Ovis aries: one gene and its partner. The protein of the gene in region 2 purifies or fractionates together with the protein of the main gene of each other region. This does not show direct contact. Links are inferred from orthologs where the notes say so. Each region holds a gene or a part of one and is shown on either strand. Other genes may lie near its edges.

Region 1 (5,787 bases), about 25 Mb from region 2:
GAACCTAGGTGTAAGGTTGGAGGGCTGCAAAAGTTAACCAGGCATTTTGCCTTCAGGAGCTCCAGGGGGTAAGGGGCAGCTGCCAGGTAAACGAGCAATGCCAGGAGGTTTCTGCTGAGAAAAGAATGAAGTACAGGGACCCGGTCACAGAGGCATGAGTTCTGGTTTTTCAGGGAAGAGGAGGAAGAGCCAGGAAGGCCTTTCATGGGAGATGACCTCAGAGGCTGGTTTTGGGAGTCAAAGACAGCAAGAGTGCATTCCACGAAGTCACAGAAAGCCTGGTCATGCTTGAGAACAGTAGATGGAAGTTTGGAGAGAAGCCAATTAAACAGCAGTCCTGGGACACCAGACTCAGAGCCACTCAGCTAAAGAAGTTTCATTTCAGTTGCTCAGTCATGTTTGACTCTTTGCGACCCCATGGACGCACGGCAGGCTTCCCTGTCCATCGCCAACTCCCAAAGCTTACTCAAACTCATGTCCATCAAGTCAGTGATGCCATCCAACCATCTCATCCTCTGTCATCTCATCCCCTTCTCCTCCTGCCTTCAGTCTTTCCCAGCGTCAGGGTCTTTTCCAATGAAAAGAACTCTGCATCAAGTGGCCAGAGTATTGGAGTTTCAGCTTCAGCATCAGTCCTTCCAATGAATATTCAGGACTGATTTCCTTTAGGATGGACTGGTTTGATCTTGCAGTCCAAAGGACTCTCAAGAGTCTTCTCCAACACCACAGTTTAAAAGCATCAATTCTTCGGCACTCACCTTTCTTTATAGTCCAACTCTCACATCCATACATGACTACTGGAAAAACCATAGCTTTGACTAGATGGACCTTTGTAGGCAAAGCAATGTCTCTGTTTTTTAACATGCTATCTAGATTGGTCATAGTTTTTCTTCCAAGAAGCAAACGTCTTTTAATTTCATGGCTGCAGTCACCATCTGCAGTGATTTTGGAGCCCAAGAAGATAAAGTCTCACTGTTTCCATTGTTTCCCCATCTATTTGCCATGAAGTGATGGGACCAGATGCCATGATCTTTGTTTTCTGAATGTTGAGTTTTAAGGCAAATTTTTCACTCTCCTTTCCACTTTCATCAAGAGGCTCTTTAGTTCTTCACCTTCTGCCATAAGGGTGGTGTCATCTGCATATCTGAGGTTATTGATATTTCTCCTGGCAATCTTGATTCCAGCTTGTGCTTCATCCAGCCCGCATTTCGCACGATGTACTCTGCATAGAAGTTAAATAAGCAGGGTGACAATATACAGCCTTGACTTACTCCTTTCCCAATTTGGAACAAGTCTGTTGTTCCATGTCCAGGTCTAACTGTTGCTTCTTGACCTGCATACAGATTTCTCAGAGACAGGTAAGGTGGTCTGGTATTCCCATCTCTCAGAATTTTCCACAGTTTGTTGTGATCCACATAGTCAAAGGCTTTGGTGTAGTCAATAAAGCAAAAGTAGATGTTTTTCTGGAACTCTCTTGCTTTTTCCATGATCCAGCGGATGTTGGCAATTTGATCTCTGGTTCCTCTGCCTTTTCTAAATCCAGCTTGAACATCTGGAAGTTCATAGTTCACATACTGTTGAAGCCTGGCTTGGAGAATTTTGAGCATTCCTTTGCTAGCGTGTGAGGTGAGTGCAGTTGTGCAGTAGTTTGAACATTCTTTGGGACTGGAATGAAAACAGCTTTTCCAGTCCGGTGGCCACTGCTGAGTTTTCCAAATTTGCTAGCATATTGAGTGCAGCACTTTCATAGCATCATCTTTCAGGATTTGAAATTCCATCCCCTCCACTAGCTTTGTTCGTAGTGATGCTTCCTAAGGCCCACTTGATTTCCCATTTCAGGATTCCTAAACTTCTTTAGTTCCTGAAGATTCCTGTTGCTGCAGAACTAAAGTTTAGGAATCAGATTCCAAGCCTCCCTGGGAGGCTACACCGGAGGCCACCAGCAGAGGGCAGGGTCCTGCCCACTGTGCCTTCTGGTCTGCAAGGCGGCGGCGCGGAAGCACTTCCCGGCTGTGGGGCGGGACTTCCGGCGGCGGTCCCAGATCTAGGGGGCGCAGCGGCAAGGAGTTGTCCTTCTAAGCGAGAGTTGTATTTCGAATCTGCACGTGTTCGCCACCGCCTCCGCTGCCAAAATGTTCCAGCTGCTGCGCTGCGTGCCCCGCGTCCTGGGTTCTGCCGTCGCTGGTCTCCGCGCCGCCGCACCCTCCCTGCCGCTTCTGCAGCCCGCGTCCCGGCCATGCGCCCGGCCCTTCGGGCTGCTGAGCGTGCGCGCGGGGTCGGTTCAGCTGCCCGGCCTCCTGAAGCCTCGGGGGCCCTGCGCTTGCGGCTGCGGCTGTAGCGGACTGCACACCGAAGGTGAGACTCATGCACGTGGGCCGGGGGCGTGAGGGGCGTGGGCCTAGGTGGGGCGGGGTGTTAGGGGCTGGGAGGTGTAGACCACCTGAATGGACAGTCCGGAGCCGCTCCTGAGGTCCGGAACATTCTCCCAGTGATGGTCGACCTGCTAGTTAAACCCACGCGTAGTAACATTTCCCGTCCTCCCCCACCCCTGTTTGACTGCGGGGATAGATACTGTAAAGTCCTGGAGGCCGGCTTTACCTCAGTCTCTCGAAAATGGAACTTTGCGAAAGCCCAAGGTCGCGGTTAGAAGTAGCGTGATGTTTCTTGGCAAGTGAAAGGGTAGTGGCGATTTTTTTTTTTTTTTTTTTTGCTTTATTTTGAAACGTCGTGAGAAGTTCATTATTCGGGATCACTTTCCTAGAATCCATGCTCAGCTTCCCACTGATAGCTTACATTTTTACAGATGAAGGAATTGAGGTTTAATGGATATGAGTTGGGCTAAGTCCACAGAGCCACCATTAATAGAAGTATTAGGAAAAAACAGGCTAAGTCCTGGTCTTTGCTTGTAGTAACGGGGTCATTTTCCATTTTAGACTAATTGGCTCTTTCTGTAACTTATTTCCATTGTAGGAGACAAAGCTTTCGTTGACTTCCTCAGCGATGAGATCAAGGAGGAAAAGAAGATACAGAAATATAAGTCTCTCCCCAAAATGTCAGGAGGTTGGGAATTGGAAGTGAATGGGACGGAAGCCAAATTAGTGCGGAAAGTTGCTGGAGAAAAGTAAGTACCAGGGGCCTATGGAGCCCAGGGGACCACATCCATAAACCTGCAGGACCTGCTGTGAGGTATCCACAACAACTTTTAGTTAAGACAGGTGCTTAACTGACTCCTGGTTTCCCAGAGATGGTATGATTCGTTTGGATAACTTCTTAGGCTCCTTTTTGCTTATTCACTGCACAGTAATGTGCTGTGGTGGTTAACAAGGAGACAGTAAGCTAGTAGCGGGGTTCCCCAGTGGCTTGGCGTCCAGAACCCACCTGCCAAAGGAGGAGGTGTGAGTCTGAAATGGCAACCCACTCCAGTATTCTTGACTGGAAAATCCAATGGACAGAGGAGCCTGGCAGGGAGTCCATGGGGTTGCAGAGTCAGACACGACTGAGTGCCTGAACATCACCCCAGTAGCACTGAAGCCAAGCCACTGGGAGTCTTCTGGACCAGTAGAGGCAGCAGTCACTGAGCCCTTCCTGGTGAGTGAGGCTGTGCCTTGCCCACAACTAGGCATGCAAATTCAGAGATTCCGGCACTGCCCACAGAATCGGATTTACTCTGCTGGGTCTACTACCCTCAGGCTCTGGCTGAGGAAAATAAAGCCCCTGTTCTGTTTACAGTTGAGAAAGCAAGATAATTAACAGGGTGGGGTTGCAGTATAGTTTTTCATTAGAAAAGAGGGATGCTTTTGGCCTGCTTAAGCTGTTTTAAATCCACGGTCCACTTTGAAGTTTTGCATGCGCTGTGAAGCAGCAGGCTGGTGCTTTTGCCTAGTATTGTAGTGCTTTCCCCGTCATAGATCAATTGTGTGGTCTGTAACGTGACCCAAACCACTCTCCTAGGCGAAGTTATAGGCAGTTTGGGACCATTATAATGTGCTGCTGAACATAGCTGCATTTCTCTGTCCAGGGGTCAGTTTGGTCCACACTGTCACAGCTTAGACAGATTTTGTGCCTGTACATCAAACTTCTGTCTGTCAAGGTGCCAGTTACCATGGCTTCAGAGGGCAGCGTTGTCTGCAACCTAGCAGTGCTCGTTCCAAGTGTCACTCAATTTTCAGTTCAAATTTTGGAATATGATATGTCAGGTGAAGATTCTTGCAAGTTAAAATTGTCATTAGGTGGTGTTTGTGGCCTGCCTTGTCATTTATTAAACTTCCTACATCTGCTCTGAAGAATAAAACTGTCCAGCAGCATATTCTTTTTTTTTTTTTGCCACACTGCTTGTGGGAATCTTAGTTCCCTGACCGGGGATCAAACCCAGGCCATGGCAGTGAACACACCAAGTCCTAACCCCTGGCCCACCAGAGAACTCCTCTATGTGGTGTCCTTTGTGAGGCCTCCCCTTCCTGGGGCCAGGGCTACTCTCCATCCTCAGCTGATGCCACAACCCTCCGGTGCTCCTTCTCTTCCTCTCAGGCAGATTTTCTTCTAATGGAGGAAGATTTTTAAAGGAGGCTCCTGGGACTTAGTGGTGGTCCAGTGGTTAAACCTCTCCTCTCCCAGTGCAGGGGACCTGGGTTCAATCCCCGATCAGGGAACTAAAATACCACACATAGCAACAAAGGTCACATGCACCTCGCAACCAAGACCCAGCCCAGCCAAGTACATTTTATTTTCTTAAAGGAGGCTTTTGGAACTTTGTGGTGGTCAAAGTGTCTGCTCCCAGCGCAGAGGACCTGGGTTCAATCCCTGGTCAGGGAACTAAGATCTCGCATGTAGCAACTGAGCGATCCCATACATAACAATGGTCATGCGTACCTCGCAACCAAGACCCTGTGCAGCCAAGTACATTTATTGTTTTAGAGGAGGCTTCTAGCCCATGCCCACAGCTTCTCAGCTGCTCACCACCACTGGGAGGTGCCCTGGAAAGACAAGAGTGGCGGTGTCAGCTGACTGTGGCTATAAGGTTGACAGAGAGCCCCGGATAGTGGCCTGATGGCAGAAGCACCAACACACAACTGTATTTGGCTGAGGAAATAGTGCCTAATTGACTTCCAGCAGCCAACACATAGTAGGCCCACTTCAGACCTGCTGAATCCAACTGTGGATGGGATGCAGGCAAATCAGATGTAAAGCCGGCTGAGATACATTGTTTCAACAGCATTTTTAACTGTAGCAAGCCGTAGTACTCAGCTACTCAGTTAAAAAGACATCTTCATTGTGCTCTTTGGTTGCCTTTCTAGGATCACTGTCACTTTCAACATTAACAATAGCATCCCACCTGCTTTCGGTGGTGAGGAGGAAGAACCCTCCCAAGGGCAGAAGGCTGAGGAGCAGGAGGTAAGTTTCTAACACTGTAACCAGCCTGTACCCACCTATTTCTGACAGGCTTAGGGAAGGAGCATTGGTTTTTGTTTTGTTTAAATTCTAACGCCAGGAGAGAGGGCAAAGGCAGCCATCCTTGGGCCTTTACTTGCAGAGCACCAGAACTGTGTGGCCACTTTTCTTTCCCAGGGGCCAAGTGTTAATGAATTGTTTTCTGTGGGCTTAAGCGTTATAGTTTGGCCGGTGTTCACCTAACAGGAAGGAATTTAAACTGTCTTAACCCTTCTCATGATCAGGAGATAAATCATTTGGAGTGTTCCACATGAGGAATACATGTCCCGAGTTGGTAATAAACACCAGCCAGGGGCATCAGAGACTTTGGCAAGGCCTCTCCTTAAGTTGCTGCCCTTC
Region 2 (5,753 bases):
ATTTGCTGGTCTGTTTAACTGGTGTCCATCTGAAACAGAGGAAGAGAGGTGCTCACTCAAAATGAGGCCCTCCTCCAGTTGGTCTGGGACTGACCCTCACCCAGCCCTCCTCTGTGACTTACTCTTGCATTATAAGCATCCAGCTGGGCATCTAATTCTTCTGCGGAAAGCTGCTGCTTTGAACTCCTGCCGGTGCCTCTGCCTCTGCCCCGGCTGCCTCCACGGGTGCCTCTCCGGGTGCCGCCGCCACCACCGAAACCTCCTGAACCACGGTTTCTAGTCATCCCACCTCTGTTTACACTAGCAAGAAAAGGAGACTTTGCTCACATGCCTGGGAAGACCTGCAGCATGAGGAGACACCCCCACAGGCCAGCCCTGACTAGAGAGGCCCCGGAACTCACCTCTGTGCAGGTCTCCGCTGCGTGTCAATCTGTGAGGTGACGAGCTGAATGTTCATGGGGCGGCCTATGGCAGAGAACACAAGAGGGCCAGGTCCTATTAGAGGACTCTGAAGCCTGCTAGGGGTAGCACCCTGGCCTCCATGCAAGCACTGGAAAGGGACACTGCATCTTGTTGCTCCCGACGAGAGGACAGCCTGGAAATGCTGGTGGGAGAACAGCCCCACCAGCGCCTCCTCGCTCCTTCTCATCCAGTGCAGGTGGGTGTCTGTCGGGCGTCCAGGGTGCCCAGGAGCAGAAAGGTACCTTTGTCTTTACGACTACAGCCCCGCACTCAAGAGTTGTACTATGGTGGTTCTGAGAAGGCTTCACAGAAGTGAATCTTCCGGAAGGAGCTGAAGGAGGGGAGGGACGTAGCTTGCTGGATGGGGATTCACAAGAGGTTGGTCCAGATGTGGGGGGCAGCATGAGAGGTGGCAGTGTGGAAGAGAGACAAAGGGGCGAACACAAAGTGTCCTCAAGCAGAGGGGACCCTACTCTTGCAGGGATGGGGCCAGCCTCTGGCTCCGCAAACTAGCTACAGCGCTGCAGCCTTTCTGGGTCCAATCCCAAACGCACCATCCAAAGGAACGCCGTTGTACTGTTTCATAGCTTTTAGTGCATCTGCCTTCCGCTCAAAGTGCACGTCAGCTGTTCCTAAACTGCGGCCAGATCGGTCGTAGTGCACAGCCGCCTTCTTCAGAGTTCCAAATTCAGCAAAGAGCTCCTGAGAGTCAGAAAGAGCAGTTGTTAGCACAGCAATTTTTCTTCTGGTGGCCCAGGGACACTCCCTGGAAGTGTAAACTGCTTTGGGGTATTTCCCTGGGAGGAAGACATACACGTGGTGGGGCAGGGAAGTGGCGGTGGGACCTGGGGTATGGGATGGGACAGGTGGGACAGCAATTTCCCGGAGCAGCTGGGCCCGAGGGCTCCTGCCCACTTGGGAACCTGACATCTATACCACGATGCAGGTGAAGGATCACAAAGCCCACCAATGAAGGGCAAAGATTTAGTTGCTATCTTCTTCAACAAAGGAATATTTACAACACACCCAAGGACTGTGCCAAGAAGCAGCCAAGGCCAAGATCACAGAGCAAGGGGCTCTATCCACTTGTGGACCAGCTCCAAGGGCCCTCTGACTGGGAGCCCTGACCCAGCCCCTCCCCCAGGGCAGATTCTGGCTCACCTTTCCCTCTCCTCCTACTCAAGCCTGCCGCAAAGCCTGAAGTCAAGCGCTGCCATGGAAACTGCCCTGACCTCAGGCAGGCTGGGAGTTGGAGAGGGAACCCAGAGTGTGGGGCTACTCCGGCCGCAGGCACACAGCGGGAAGTGGAGTTCACCAAAAGCGGTTTCCAGTGGATGCCAGAAACCACCTTAAAAAAAGTGTTGAGACACTGTGAGTGCTCACTGGCCTTGCTCTGTCCTCCCAAGGCAAAGTAAATGGCTGGGCTCTGGGAAATTGAACCCAGGAAGGCCCAGTACCCTGCCCAGCCATCTCCTGGACTGACCCCCAAGATGTCATTACTTAACCATTTTAGGCAGCAAATTTAAAGGCCTTTAGGGTTCAACCGAAAAAAAAAAAGAAAGAAAGAAAAGGAAAAAAAGAAAAAGGGGAGGAAAGAGAGGCAAAAAAAAAGAGGCTTCAACCAAAGATGTTTGAGAATCATGTCACTAACAAAACCCAGGGGGTGAGGGTAAGTGAGAAGACAGGGGATGAAATTCCAAGTAAGACATGGGGCTTAAGGCAAATGGAGCCAGAGCGGCGCTGGCACCATCCTGCTCTGTGCTATGTCAGTTCTACAAAGGAAGTGCTTTCTCCTCCCAACAAACCATTAAAACAAGCAAAACGTAAAGAAAACAAGTAGCCTAGCTCTTCCAGGAACAGAATCGGAGCACAGTCAACCAAGCTTCTGCCAGAAGAGCTTGGGCAGAGTGCCTTCATCTACAAAACACGTTTTAGCAAGGAAGAACAGCAGCGCCCCAGACTAAGCTGGGGCCTTGTCTTCCAGCACAAACTGACACATTGGTCAGGCTTTCAACTCTAGCTCAACCTCTGCTCTGCATTCCTGGAGCCCATCACAGGGAACAGTGGCTGGCCTTTCGGTGCCTGGGAGAGCTTGTCGTCCCAAGGTGTGCGTGTGGGGGATTCTGGGCCAAGTCCCAAACGCCACAACCGATTCCGTGCGGAGTGACCCGCCCACCAAGAAACTCCAGTCCCTTACCTGAATATCAGCGTCGGACACTCCAAAATCCAGATTTGACACCAGCAGTTTCCCACCGGTCTCCACGCCGGCACCACCCCCAAAACCGCTATCGAAAAGGTCATGCTGCCATTTGTCAGGAAGTTGTTTCGGCTGAGGGAAAAGAAAACACAAGAACAGAAAAAGGTCTGTGAGTCTCACTCCAGGGCTCGCCCTCGCCCTCACGGCCACAGCAAGAGCCTCCCCCCATCTCGGCGGGGAGGCAGGCGCTGAGAGAGACCCGCAGCCTCCGCTTCACGCCCGCGTCAGGCCGTACCCGGCCGCCGCGGCCACACGTCCCGCAACTTCTCGGTTCCCTTCAACCAACTTCCCGCCACCGGGGCGGCCGCGCCAACGGCCCCTCAGCCCCCAGCGCCGTGAGGCCGGGCGCCCTGTTAAGACAAAGGCCGCCAGGGTCTCCGCCTTGGTGCCCGGCAGGCGAGCGACCTTCCCGCCCGCCGAACCGGCCGGCGCCCGCGCCCCCCGGCCCAGTCGGTCAGTCGGTCGGCCGCCCGGACGGCCCGCCGGTCGCCCGTGCGCCGCCCTGCCGGTTCGCTCCCTCGCCGCGGCCCGCCACCCGGTCTCCACACTCACCCTGCTGTAGGGCGCCGGCCGGTTCCTGCCGCCGCCGCCCGCCGCGCCGCGGGCGATGGCCGGCCGATTCCGAATGGGTCCGCCGCCTCGGTTCACTCGCGCGGCGGCCTGGGCTCCGCCGCCGCGGCCACCCTGGGAGCCGGCCCGGCCGCGGCCCCTGCCCCCGCCGCGGCCGCCTCGCTGGCTCCGGTTCAGCTTAATGATGTCGTCCAGAGACATATCCATTTTGTCGGCCATGGCGGGCGCGGAATCGGCCTCGGCTCGAGCCCGCGCGTCAGCACGTCGGCGCGTCACTTCCAGCGCCGCTCGCGGGTTTTCCGGTGCCGCGTCCTCAGAGCGACCGCGGATTGGCTGCGGGCCTTCGGCGTCTCAGGGGGCGAGGTCGCGCGTGCGCGCTGAACCAAGGAGCTCGGCGGGCGCCTCTGAGAAGTGCCGAGCCGCGGCCACAGGCGTTTATATACCTTCCCGCGCGGGGCCGGCACTGCCAACTGAAGGCGGGTGGTGCGGCGCGCGATTAGATCGGCGGGGGCGCGGCCGTTGGGGGCGTGGCCGAGCGTGGCGCCTCTCCCTCGCCCCTCCCCCACCGCACCGGGAACCCGCACCCTAGTCCAGCGGCGGGAGTGAGTGCGGCCCGCGCCAGGGTTGTTTCCGGGGTGACCTCGTAGGGAGCGGGCTTGGGTCTCCATCTCTCAGCCCCGTCAGCCCTTTCGGAAGTAGCGCACGGCGCGTTTCTGCGGTTGTTAAAGAAAGCCGACGAGCCCTTCTGCGGACGCCGAGGCAGAAGTGCGGTGTTGGCGAAGGACCAACACCGGTCCTCCCGGTCTTCCCGAGGACCCGGCCCCCGCCCCAGTCCCCTTGCAGACAGCCTCTTACTGCCTTTCGGCGGCCACTGTTGCCTACGCTCGACCCTCGGGGCGACGCCCCTTCTTTGGCTTCCAGGTGCCGTAGCTCTGCAGACTCAGCACAGCCGGGTGGTCTCTTCCCTCCTCGCAGGCTCCTCGCGCCATGAAGGTGAAGATCAAATGCTGGAACGGCGTGGCCACTTGGCTCTGGGTAGCCAACGACGAGAACTGCGGCATCTGCCGGATGGCCTTCAATGGCTGCTGCCCGGACTGTGAGTGTCCCCTGCCCGCTGTCTCTCGAGCTGTGCCTATCATCTGGCCTTGGCGTGTCCCCAGAAGTACTCGCAGAGCGTTTCTGGGGTTTGGTTTCCTCTTCCCAAGAAAAGTTGACAGAGAAAAGCCAGGCTATTTGGGCCCATATTTGTACAAAGATCCCGTCAAAAGTTTTGTAAGGAAAAGAGCACAGTTTCCTATCCTGATAAAAGTCACTATGAGACCCGTGGAACACAAAAATGTGTTAAGACATTGTATTTGAAAATTTCAAGTCAACAAAAAATTGTGACGTTACAAGGTTTCCCCCTCAATCCAGCACATAAATGATGAATAACACGTTTTCATATCTGGCTGTTTTTGCCCAGCTGTTTTAAGGTAAATGCTAAATATCTGCTGCATTGTCAGGCGGGTTCCTTATCACTGAGCCACCAGGGAAGCCGCAGCAAATGCTAAATGTGATGTCCTATATCAGTGCTGACTTTTACCAGCACTGTTGTCACTTTAGACAATATACTGCCTTACTGTTGCCGGTCATTCCTAGTCCTTGTTCAGGTTTCTTTAGTTGTCCTCAAATGTCTTTTTATTGTTGGGTGGTGTGAGCCAAGACCCAAGGTGTGATCACTTTTTCCCTTCACTACTTAATCTAGAATAGTTTTGCTTCAACTTCTCTATCGCGTTTTAGACATCAAATTATTTGTTTTTATTTTTCTTTATTTATTTTTGGCTGCTTAGGGACCTTCATTGCATTGAGCAGGCTTCTCTCCAGTTGTGTTGCATGGGCTCAGTTGTCTTGTATCATGTGGGATTTTAGTTCCTAGACCAGGGATCAAACCCACATCCCCTGCATTGGAGGGCAGATTCTTAACCACTGGACCACCAGGGAATTCCCCGTAGACATCTGATTTCTTTCAGAACATGTTGTCTTGCAAAATGCCTGACCTCAGGTTTTATCAGATTTCATCTTTGCGGTGTCTTTTGCATTGTTCCTTTGTCCCCAGTGTGTTCTGTGAAGCGAAAGTATTTGGGTCAAAAGGAGATTTTTGCACCAGTGAATTTAGTTTTTAGTCAGACACAAGTGAACCAGAAGCAGTAGGAAGGGTCTTAAGGCTTTGCCTAGGGGACGAAGGTGTTCCCGAGAGAGAAGTGAGATTTGGGGACCACTGAGAAGTCAATGACCAGGCCTGTCCTGTGGGGCTGTGAACATCAAAATAGTACTAGATCTTTGCTTCTTACAGTGAAATTCAAATAATTGATTTTAGTGCAAATATAATTTTATCCTAGTCTTAAATCTTTACATCTGGAAGAGGAAATCTCATCACCCATGGGCTAATCCATCCTGATTTAATCAGGCTGCGATATAATCTTAG

The links. The genes of interacting proteins can lie anywhere in the genome.
Region 1: the proteins of ALYREF (region 2) and C1QBP purify together in Homo sapiens (affinity purification with mass spectrometry; 3 studies listed by BioGRID and IntAct, with this or other methods). This does not show direct contact. The link is inferred for Ovis aries from reciprocal best matches to the Homo sapiens genes ALYREF and C1QBP.

The regions. Positions count from the first base shown.
Region 1 is NC_056064.1:25,997,364-26,003,150, forward strand, and holds the start of C1QBP (complement component 1 Q subcomponent-binding protein, mitochondrial), read left to right. Parts: upstream 1-2,031; 5' UTR 2,032-2,132; coding exon 2,133-2,355; intron 2,356-2,970; coding exon 2,971-3,121; intron 3,122-5,294; coding exon 5,295-5,391; intron 5,392-5,787.
Region 2 is NC_056064.1:50,497,167-50,502,919, reverse strand, and holds the start of ALYREF (THO complex subunit 4), read right to left. Parts: upstream 3,541-5,753; 5' UTR 3,509-3,540; coding exon 3,272-3,508; intron 2,792-3,271; coding exon 2,660-2,791; intron 1,165-2,659; coding exon 1,017-1,164; intron 466-1,016; coding exon 402-465; intron 301-401; coding exon 123-300; intron 30-122; coding exon 15-29; 3' UTR 1-14. Other genes in the region: ANAPC11 (anaphase-promoting complex subunit 11), read left to right, coding at 4,277-4,385. UniProt on the Homo sapiens protein: Functions as an mRNA export adapter; component of the transcription/export (TREX) complex which is thought to couple mRNA transcription, processing and nuclear export, and specifically associates with spliced mRNA and not with unspliced pre-mRNA.